Linked DNA regions of Rattus norvegicus. The protein of the gene in region 1 purifies or fractionates together with the protein of each later gene. This does not show direct contact. Links are inferred from orthologs where the notes say so. Each region holds a gene or a part of one and is shown on either strand. Other genes may lie near its edges. The genes, in order: Strap, Snrnp70 and Tgfbr1.

Region 1 (2,525 bases):
TAACAGTCACTGTGAGTCTAAAAGAGACATCTAAAGCCACCTTTAGTACAACAGTCACTCTGGGATTAGTAATAAGTATTTGGAGTTTTTGTTTGTTTGTTTGTTTGTTATTTAAACTTAAAAACATGTTTTCAGTGGTAAGGATCAAGTAATACTATAAAAAATTGAATAGATACTTGTAAATTCTTCATACTGCCTTCTAACAAGCTTTATTTTTATTTTATTTTATTTTTTTATGTATGCTTTTGAACCCCTGGGCCATCTCCCGAGCTCCTTTGTAATAAATTTTGCAATCAGTTCATTCAATTCATCACATAAAGGTCATTGCTCAGTTAGCAGCATGATTTCACTTGCTTATGCCATATGCAGAACTCAAAGTCTAAAGGCAACTGACACAGTGCAACAGAACTAGTGAAGGACACACAGTCTCCGCAGCATAATTTGGTAACGTTGAAGAGACGTCCTCACCAGGAAGCACGCATTTCCACAGGCCGTAGGTCTTTCCAACCACAGTTTGCCACAATCTCAGTGTCCCATCTTCAGAACCACTGGCATAGAGTTCACCATCGGGACTGAATCTCACACAGTGAATGGGGCCAAAGTGACCTTTGTAGGATTCTGAAAACAGTGAAGAGTGGGGTTATCAGATTTAAATACATGCAAAGCTAATTATTAGGGTAAATAGCACTGTACTAGAAGAGATACTGTCCGTCTGTACTGCTGGGGATCATTTCCCTAGAATTAGCCCTTTCCTGTCCAATGTCAGAGGCAGCCCTGTCAACTTTCACTGATCCACACAGCTCTTGTCTGGAAGCCATGGGATCTGATGGCCTGAAAGATGGGGTGGACCAGTCTGATGCTGTGGACAATGCTATCGCGGTTTCAGTATACAAAATGCAGCTGAGGGGAAAGAAAGGCCTCTGACTTTTTCCTGCAGACTCTCTCAGGGTCCCCTGAGAGACCCTTAGTATTATTCACTATGAGTCACTCTTTTGACCGTGTCCCAACACAGACTGTCTTTCAAAAGTGGAAAATGAAGTTTCATGTCCCACTGAGAATTGAGAAGCTGTCAATAAAGACTAAATTCTAGACTAGAGCTCAAGTCTGTGAACCTTACCCCAGTGTCCAGGTCCTGAACTCACCCTGCTTTAGAGCCGATCCATCCATGCCTGCAGAGGGCCAGCAGATGGAGCTCTTTACAGACGCCAGCCCCTGACTCCCTAACCAGGCCATCTATCCGGCTTCCTAATTCCACCACAGTGCTGACACAGGTTCAATCCTGACCCCGCATTTTAATACCGGGAATGTAGTGATTGGGAAGGTTTTTCTACTGCAGGAAAACTTACGAATCTCTCATATATAATCTTATGCCTCTCCATCTTATTCTGGAGTTTCCTCCATCTCTGACTAGCCAGGGAATAGAAGCATCTAAGAGTAGAGGGACCAGGATGGAATATTTGTCTATCATATACAAACCTCCTGGATTCAACCCTCAGACACAACCCCAAAAGTTCCATGAACAGACACTGGATGAGAACAACTGTATCCAAAACCCACACCTATCTATCTCTCCTCTGAACACAGCCTGGATCATCAACGCTGAGCACCTCCTCCGCCCCAGCCCAGCCACAGTTCTCTCAAGCCGAAAAAAACGGACATGTGACTGAACATTCTATAGAACTGACTTAAGCAACCCCGGTCCACCAGTTTCTCCCAAGAAACAAAATAAAGCCGTTTCTTGCTCTTTGTGTATAAATCCAGTGAGTTAGCTCTGTGGGTGGAAAACCAGAATACTTAGATACAGGTAAGAAGAGACGCCAGTTTACAGACAGAAAGGGAGATTTTTAAACTAAAAGCAAAACACAGTTGGACTTGGTTAGGTACTAAAAATTGTGCTCTCTGACCTATCTAGCATACTTACTATTCTACACATGATAAAGTTAGGATGTTTCTGCTTCAAATTAATCATACATCAGCCATTCTACTTCTTAAGAACTATTAAACTAATAATAATATATTATATATATAAAATAATATATATTACATGTCAATATATAACTCATCTTAATATTTTATATATTACTATATTAAGTTATACTTTAGTTTCGATTTAAATTATATTAATTACTTTATGTTAAAATAAATTAAATATAGTAAATATTATATGTTATAATCCTATATATATTACTCTTTGTAAAGGGTCCTTGTTAAACCAATGATTCCCCCACCATTCTCTAGAGACTTAGGTTGAAGAAAGGAGGCTGGGTAAACAGGATTATATACCTGTTCTCTCCTTAGAAAGAACAAAATACCCTTGCATATGTTTCATATTTGACTTGAAATACAAATATTCCATCCCAATAAAGAATCAAAAATCAGTGAACTACAGAACATCAGTGTAAAGATAAGACTCAGATAAGAGGAAATGAGTTCAGTCTTGTCAGAGGGTCTGTATTTCTATCAAAAATGGATAACACCTTTGTTTTTGAAGGTATGAGTTTCCAGTTTTAGTTAGCTGGAAAACT
Region 2 (3,651 bases), on another chromosome or scaffold:
TTTATATTAGTATCAACAAATCCATACACCAGAACAACTGACTTGTTTCTGAGACTTCATTCAGCACAGCACAAAGTCTCAAGAATTCACCCTTTTTAAAAGAGAACTGTGGGCCCCTGTGGTTGGGGTGGGAGGTTAGCACTGGCGCACAGGTGCAAGCAAAGCCAGGTGATGCTGCCTGAGACAGAGTGAAGCACCAGGACAAAGACCTAACCCAGCTCGGGCCTAATCTGAGGCATCAGCAAAGAGACTGACATCTGTCTACAGAGTGAGCAGCAAACTCTCAAAGTCCAGCCTCAAGGTCTTAATGAGGATCTACTGACATCACAACCCTTGGGACTGAGACAAGAGCCTCAGTGGTTAAAGCTCTTCCAGAAGTCCTGAGCAACAGTGTCCACACAGACATAAAATAAATAAATTAAAAAATTAAAAAGACCCTCAGATGCATTTCAAGACTTGCCACAACAACCCCCATGGAGATAGCCCATAACCACCACAAAGAAAGTGAGGGGACAGATGCAAGATCAGAGCACAGGCTGCTGCTGCTCTCTTGCTTCAGGTATGAAGCCAGGAGCTGGGCTGGTGACTCAGCTAGAGAGTGAAGAAGCGAAGCCATTCAGTGAGAGCAAGAGCAAAGCTAGAGCCAGTGATTCTCTCCAACCCACCCCATGATACCAAGTACACTGGGCATAAGGTGGCTGAGGTCAGTGTGGAAGTTTCCAACACTGCACAAAAGCTGCTGCTGGTCAATCACTCATGCAGGGAAGACCAGGGCATGCTTGGGTGCTCATGTGTAGGTGTCTGTGTGCACCAGCGTCCAAAGCCATGAAGATGATAAGAAGACAAGCTGGAAATGGAGGAACAGGCAGATGGGTTGGGGAGACTGAAGAATAATAATCTATATTCACAGGCCCAGGTGCCCCGAGGGCAAATGCACTCACCTAGCCGCCGGGGCCTCCAGCCCTTCACAGTCCGGCCCCTCTCCACATCCACGAGGACCCTCCTGCCATCTATCTTCTTGCCATCTGCGTGCTTGTAAGCGGCTGCAACAGATGTGGGGGAGGGGGAATCCCCAGAAGGTCCTCTAGTCAGACAAGGCTCCATACAACAGCATCCCTGCCCCTCAAACCACATCTGCACACACACACTCACACTCCCACCAGTCAGCCAGGCAACCAACAGCCAGACAGCCCTCTCCCCACCCTGAAGGGCCTGCTCCATCCAGTGCCTGATTCCTTTCGGGCACCCCCAAGTGCTATTGGGGGGCAAACCATTCACCCTGGCCTCCCCCAGCTTTCACATGATGGAGCAGCCCCCTCCTGCCAGGGTGGCCAAAGTTGCTGCAAAGAAACTGGAGGTTAGCTGAATGCTGGCCTCTGCTGTGGGGAGGGCTCCTCCACACCCAGGCATGCACCCTAGACACCATGCTGGGCAGGAGGCTGGCTAGGCCCCTCCACACCCAGGCATGCACCCTAGACACCATGCTTAGGCAGGAGGCCCACTGGGCCCCTCCACATCCAGACCACACCAGGTTTTTTTTTGTTTTTCATTTTTGGTTTTTCTGTGTGTTTTTATAGGGGAGGTCAGTGTGAGGAAACAGACATCAGAACAGAAATGAACAGGAGTGGAAAGACCTTTAGGAATTGGCAGGGATACAGGTGGGTGCTGAGCTCCCCAGGGGCCTCCAAGGACCCTGGCTGGACCCAGAGGGACATGTGCCGTGCTACTCAAAATCCCTGCCTTACCTGAGCCGACTGACCCTGCCACCACCTACCCTGGCCAGCTCTGTCCTCCAAGTCGAGGTCAATGGCCAGCAGGGCCTGCAGCCCAGCCTGAACCCTCAGGGAAGTTGAGGAACATAAGACATAGTGGGATGGCCCAGAGTCCAGGCCTGTGATCAGGCAGGGCTGTTAAGAAGGCCAAAAAGTCCCTGTCCAGGTCCCAGTCCTGGCCTAAGGGGCTGTGCTCACCAACCACAATACCCTGCCCCACCCCTGCCCACTCCCCCCCAATAACAACCAGAGGAAGAGAAAAAGGTGCCATTTACCGATGCCGGCCTTGCGGGTGTCCAAACCGAGCGGGATGGGGGGGGCCGGCAACTCCTGGGGGCCTGGCGAGGAGGCGGGCTTCCCGGGGGTGGGGTAGGGGTTGGGACACGGGACTGCTTACCTGGAGACCCCAAGCTTACCTGAGTACTCATACAGACCCCACACCCACCACCATTAGGGCAACTAAAGCTACAGGGAACCCTGAGAGGGAAAGACTACATTTCCCACATCATCTAGAAACACATGGATGAAGGAAAAAAGGGAGCCTCAGAATCTGAGGGATGATTTGCACCTGGGCTGGGAGACCTGGGTCTATCTATCCTGCCCAACCTAAACAGTGGGCCTCAAGGCCTCAAAAACACCTACTGCTCACCACTGCCTCAATCACCTTCACTAGGTACAGGCCCAGCACTCAATACTAGGGTCAGGTTCTCCATCTCGATTCCATGTGCCCTCCCACTAGTGGCAACAGCTCTGAGGCTAGCACACAGGGGACACACCTGGGATCCAAGAAAATGCTTCCCATGCTCCAGGAGGGGCCAATCGGCCCCTAACCCCAGAACAGAGTGAGAGGGGAGGGAACTTAAAAGACTTCAGTCAAATACAGGAACCCTGCTTAGGTTCCCCATCCCAAACCCCAGATGTCCAACCCAGAAAACAGCAAGAAGACCGTGTAATTGTGTCAGTCTAGGCTTCTCTCTCTTTCCCTCTCTTCCGCCTCTGTACAGATTTAGTAAAAAACTACCACACCTTCAATTGTTTTAAGGCCTGCTCCACCCCTCCCATACCCTGAACCCCAATCCATGCACTTTGGGGAGCTCAGGCACTGGACATCACAGCTGCCTTCTCAGGAGGCTCCCACCACACCAAGGAAGACAGGAGGGACACAATACCCCAAACTAGAAATCAGACTTTCCTAGACCACTATGGTGACAACTCCACAGAAGTCACAGGGCAGGGAGGGTTGGGCTGAAGGGCTCCACATAGAGCCCTGGTCCCAGGACACCCCAGCTTTAGGATTACCAATATGACCCAGATGTCAGAGGCTGGGTGGAGCCCGACTATGGAGGCAAATGCCTCTCCCATCGAGGTCCACCCTTCCCCTTGGGATCAGTGAGATTACCAGAGAGAATGTGGATGGGGGCAAGAGGGGTGGAGGGCACCCAAATGAGGAAAGGGCTGTGGGTAAAGGGAGACTGAAAGGTGACTAGGGTGGGAGGGGAAGCCTCGCTGTTCCTAAGCTGCCTGGCTAAGCTGGGCTGGTGTGCGGTGCTGTGATCTTACCCATGATACAAACCCTTATACCAACCATACACTGAGGTGTTGTAAGGGGAGCGTAAGCATCAGCTGCAAGCCAGCTGCGTGGTGGCTGCAGTGACAATAAGAACAGTCAATTAATACGGCGGCCCCTGGACACGCCGCAGCCCTGCCCACCCCCACCCACCCAGCCCTACCCGAATGGACGCCGCATAGCCTCAATGGGGCTTTGTAGCTGTGGGAGTGGGTACTAAACATGCCCACCAGATCACTGCTTGATGAGGACTAGGTGGGGGTTGGAGTGGGGAGGTGGAGGGTCGGGTGGCCCAGCCCAGTTATACTGGGG
Region 3 (4,222 bases), on another chromosome or scaffold:
CTTAGAAGCTAGTCAAATTTAGTCTCTGTAGCCTCGGTGCAGGGGAGCTAGGAACTGATCGTTCTGCAGTCCCAGAGAGCAGGCCTGTTCAGGTTCTGGCAGGTTAGGACTTGCTCAAGCGTGTCCTAGCTGGAGCCGAGAAGCAGTCTCAGACCCCAGCTCTAACCCCCACGGTTTGCTTTCATAAGCAGGATCAAACTCTTGGAGAGTGGCTGTAAAACAATTTACTAACAGATACTAGAGGCCGGCTGGTTCCTACTACCGAGCTTCATTTAATTCCGAGTTCAAATCATACAGAAAATAAAATTTTCTCCTTAAAAGGTTCTGCGGAAAAATGCTGTCGGTGCCATGCGGCCGCCTCCGTGACTGTGTTTGTGTCTGAAGAAAGGACTAGTCTGACAGGAAGAATTACAAATCTGGAGCTCATTTTGGCATCCCAGAGGGAAGGTGGGTGGAGCGTCTCACAGTAAATTAGGAATTCAGAATGAAAGCGGAGCTGAGTTTATTTGGGTTTTTAGTGACACCTCGAAATTATTACACAGGCGTGTCGGAGACAGCTCTAAGTACCTATGACTGCTCCCGCTTCGCCCCGAATCCCCCATCATTCAAAACCCGTAGGCCTCTCCGCTTCCACGCGGGGTCAGGAAGGTGGGAGGGAAGGAGAGCGGCGGGGACCCACAGTCTGTTTATACTGCCGAGAGACACAGGCCACTCAGGGGTGTGTCTGAGCTCCGCCTCGGGATTCAGAATCTGGGCTCCGACTTTGGGACTGGAATTTGAGGAGGGCAAGACTAGGTCTGGGGCGGCCATAGAGTGCGGGAAGAAATCGGGTTATCTTTGCGGGGAGGCTGGGAATTGAGGAGCGGGTCTAGGGAGAAGAAGTTGAACCGCGGACCGTATTGAGGGTCGGAGTGGCGATAGTTGAGCTTTGCCGGTGCAGGACTGTGCAGGGAAAGTCAGGGTGGGGTTGGAGTAGAAGAAAAGAGCGAGCAACGTCCACAGTCTTTCCCTGAGCAACTCTTACGGGCACACCCAGCGCTTAGTCCGGACTGCGGGCTCCCTCGGGCGCGCAGGCTGGACCCTGCCCCCACCCGCCGGTAGAGTACGAGCTACCCTGCTGTGGCTGGAGTATAGGCGCCCAGCGGTGAGGGGGCGTGGCCAGAGGCCCAGCAGTGCGGAGGCGTGGTTAGAGGCAGAAGTCCAGGGCCGCTCATTGGCCGCCCAGGGGCCCCGAGGGCGGGGCTCTCCGCTGGGTCCCTCTAGGGCGCTCGCGGGCGGCGGGGGAGGCGGGGTCGGCGGGAGCTGGGCAGCCAATGGGCGTGCGCCCCTCGAGCAGTTACAAAGGGCCGGAGCGAGGCCGCAGCGGCGGCGGGGAGGTGGGGCGAGGAGAGGCGAGGCTTGTTGAGGAGAAGCTGAGGCCGGGGCCGGGCCGGGCCACAAACAGTGGCAGCGGGACCATGGAGGCGGCGTCGGCTGCTTTGCGTCGCTGCCTGCTTCTCATCGTGTTGGTGGCGGCGGCGACGCTGCTCCCGGGGGCGAAGGGTGAGTGGCGGGCGGGTGGCTGTGGGGCGCGCGAGCCGGGCCCGGCCTCTGGCTCGCTTCAGCTCTTTCTCAAACATGGCGCGGGGCCGGGGGCGCAGGTGGCGGCGCCGGGCCGGCCGAGCTTTCCTGACCCGGCAGGCGCCACGCGAGCCGGGGCGGGGAGGAGAGGCGGGGCGGGGGCGGTGTCGAGCGCGGGTGGCCGAACACCGAGCGGAGGCCTGCCCTCTTGGGCTCCCGGGAGCAGCGGCTGGCGAGCCTGCTGAGGTCTGTGGCTGCCCTCGGGGGTGTGAGGCCGGCGGGGACCGTGGCCCCCTGATTCCACTGCCTAAGTGCTCTCCGGCCTGAGACTGTTAGGGCGTGGGCGGGCACCGGCGTGGAGGCGCTCCGGGGCTCGGCGCGTGGAGGGCTCCTCGGAGGGTCGTAAGGGGCGCCGTGGGCAGAGATCCCGGGTGGGCCGCACTGCTGTGAGTGTCGGCGCCCGCCTAGGGCGACTTTTCTTCAACCGGGGGCTTTGTGTGAGAAGCAGGCGCGAAGATGCGCGGAATGTTCTCTCTTCGTGCGTCTGGGAAGAGTTGAGAGTTCAGTAACCAGAAGATTGCCTTGCTAGTAGAAACTTGAACGTTTGCTCACTCTGCAGACTTGGGATCGTTTGAATGGGAATGATTCTGTAGAATTGATCAAAGATTTCTTTTTCTCGACGGGATCGTTGCTTTGGGTGTATCGTTTCCTTAAGCAGTAGTCTTAAAATCAGACCTCTATGTAGCTGGCTTTTGAAGGGAAAATGTGTAGTTTTCCAAAATATTAAAACCGGCCGTGATACGGTTGTCACCCCGTGGAGGGAAGATTGAAAAACTTAGTCCGGAACCGATTAAAATAGGAGAAAGCAAAATACTGAGGCTCAGATTAGCAACTAAAATACAGTGAAAATACATGTCTGTTGCTGAAATTGGATAACATTTTAAAAAGCAAAGCATACCAAAACAAAAATCTCTCCAGACTGTGGATGCCAGCTGTTATTAAACTTAATAGTAACTGTTTATTGGGAGTTGATTATAATGCAGATGTAAAAGGCACAGTATCTCGGGGCACAGAACCCTCGGGGCTACCAGTACTTGTCCTGTACATTGACTTGAAAACTGAGGTGCAGGAGATTACGTTCTTAGTAAGTGCAGAAATTAATTTGTACTTAGGCCTTTCTGGGCTCAAAATCAGTGCACCTGCTATACCGTAGCATAGCCCACTTAAAGAACAGTTGATATTTGACACTTAGAACTTAGCCATCAGTTTCTTAGTTTACTTGAACTTGAACAACCTAGTACTTGAACATTCCCTTCACAAAGGTCTTCATTAGAAGATACCATGGGTTTTTGACATTGGCTTAGGAAGGGAATAACGGTGGACAAAGTGGGGGAATTGTTATAATTATTCACCAACTATAAGTGGCCATATCTCTACAATTATTTGAATAAAGTAATTCTTTTCTACCTAAAACAAAGCAAGACACGTTCATGCATTTAGCAGTATTGACTTAGATGCTGAGAAGGTTGGTCCGTGTCCTGGAGGATTTTATTACTCAAAACCTAGACTAGTACTTCATAAACTTTCCCCGTTTGCCATCCTCTTTTCTCAAAAGATTGTACGTGACCTTGAGTACAAAATGTAGAAAGCAAGTATATAATTCAGATGTGCTGATAATAGATCATAAATGAAATTATTTTAAAACAATTCATTGGTACATACAATTTTACTATTTATTAAAGATTCAAGCACATTTTCATAGTAATGAGATGGGTGAGTTTATTTTTACTTAAAGAATTAAATCATCCAATGCCAACGACTCCATATAATTGTTTAGGGCCATTTCAGACATTGTTGAAAATTCTCTCTTAATCACAAGATGAAATTTATTTAATAATTTTTTATTTATATAAGTATGCTGTAGCTGTCTTCAGACACACCAGAAGAGGGCATCAGATCTTATTACAGATGGCTGTGAGCTACCATGTGGTTGCTGGGAATTGAACTCAGGACCTCTGGAAGGGCAGTCGATGCCCTTAACCACTGAGCCGTCTCTCCAGACCTCATTTAATAATTTTTAAAATGAAATTTAAGTCAGCAACTTAAACAGCAGTTTTTAAAATCAGACATTCTAACACAATACAGTCGATCTACAATCGATCACAAATATACCACTTTGATATACATGAAGGATGAAAGCCTTTTCTGTATGTATGTTTCTGGAAGAATAGAAAACTTTTTATTTAATAAAAAACATTAAAACTTATAAAAATAAATGTTAGCACTGCATAACACGACAGCAAGTGTGTTTAGAACCAAGGGTGTTGTGAAGTTGCATCATGTAACACAAGCATGCATTGCCAGAAACACTTCAGATTCATTACTCATTTGATTTTTAATTAATTTGGAGTGTTATACATTCAGAAGTCCTTGAGTATTGCCAGATTGTTGTATGACCCAGCACCTCTATAAGGAGTTAGGATTCAGTTTAAGAAGCTATGGCCTCTTGGTCCTGTGAAGGCTGGATGCCCCAGTGTTGTAGGGGAATGCCAGGGTGGGAAGGCAGGAGGGGAGCGGGTGGGTGGGGAGCACCCTCATAGAAGCAGGGGGAGGGAGGATGGGATAGGGAGTTTCCAAAGGGGAAGCCAGGAAAGGGGATAAC

The links.
Region 2: the proteins of Strap (region 1) and Snrnp70 purify together in Homo sapiens (affinity purification with mass spectrometry; 3 studies listed by BioGRID and IntAct, with this or other methods). This does not show direct contact. The link is inferred for Rattus norvegicus from reciprocal best matches to the Homo sapiens genes STRAP and SNRNP70.
Region 3: the proteins of Strap (region 1) and Tgfbr1 purify together in Homo sapiens (affinity purification with western blotting; 3 studies listed by BioGRID and IntAct, with this or other methods). This does not show direct contact. The link is inferred for Rattus norvegicus from reciprocal best matches to the Homo sapiens genes STRAP and TGFBR1.

Annotation. Positions count from the first base shown.
Region 1 is NC_086022.1:172,387,226-172,389,750, reverse strand, and holds part of Strap (serine-threonine kinase receptor-associated protein), read right to left. Parts: intron 619-2,525; coding exon 469-618; intron 1-468. UniProt on the Homo sapiens protein: The SMN complex catalyzes the assembly of small nuclear ribonucleoproteins (snRNPs), the building blocks of the spliceosome, and thereby plays an important role in the splicing of cellular pre-mRNAs.
Region 2 is NC_086019.1:104,995,843-104,999,493, forward strand, and holds part of Snrnp70 (U1 small nuclear ribonucleoprotein 70 kDa), read right to left. Parts: intron 1,044-3,651; coding exon 942-1,043; intron 1-941. UniProt on the Homo sapiens protein: Component of the spliceosomal U1 snRNP, which is essential for recognition of the pre-mRNA 5' splice-site and the subsequent assembly of the spliceosome. SNRNP70 binds to the loop I region of U1-snRNA.
Region 3 is NC_086023.1:66,448,023-66,452,244, forward strand, and holds the start of Tgfbr1 (TGF-beta receptor type-1 precursor), read left to right. Parts: upstream 1-1,375; 5' UTR 1,376-1,457; coding exon 1,458-1,542; intron 1,543-4,222. UniProt on the Homo sapiens protein: Transmembrane serine/threonine kinase forming with the TGF-beta type II serine/threonine kinase receptor, TGFBR2, the non-promiscuous receptor for the TGF-beta cytokines TGFB1, TGFB2 and TGFB3.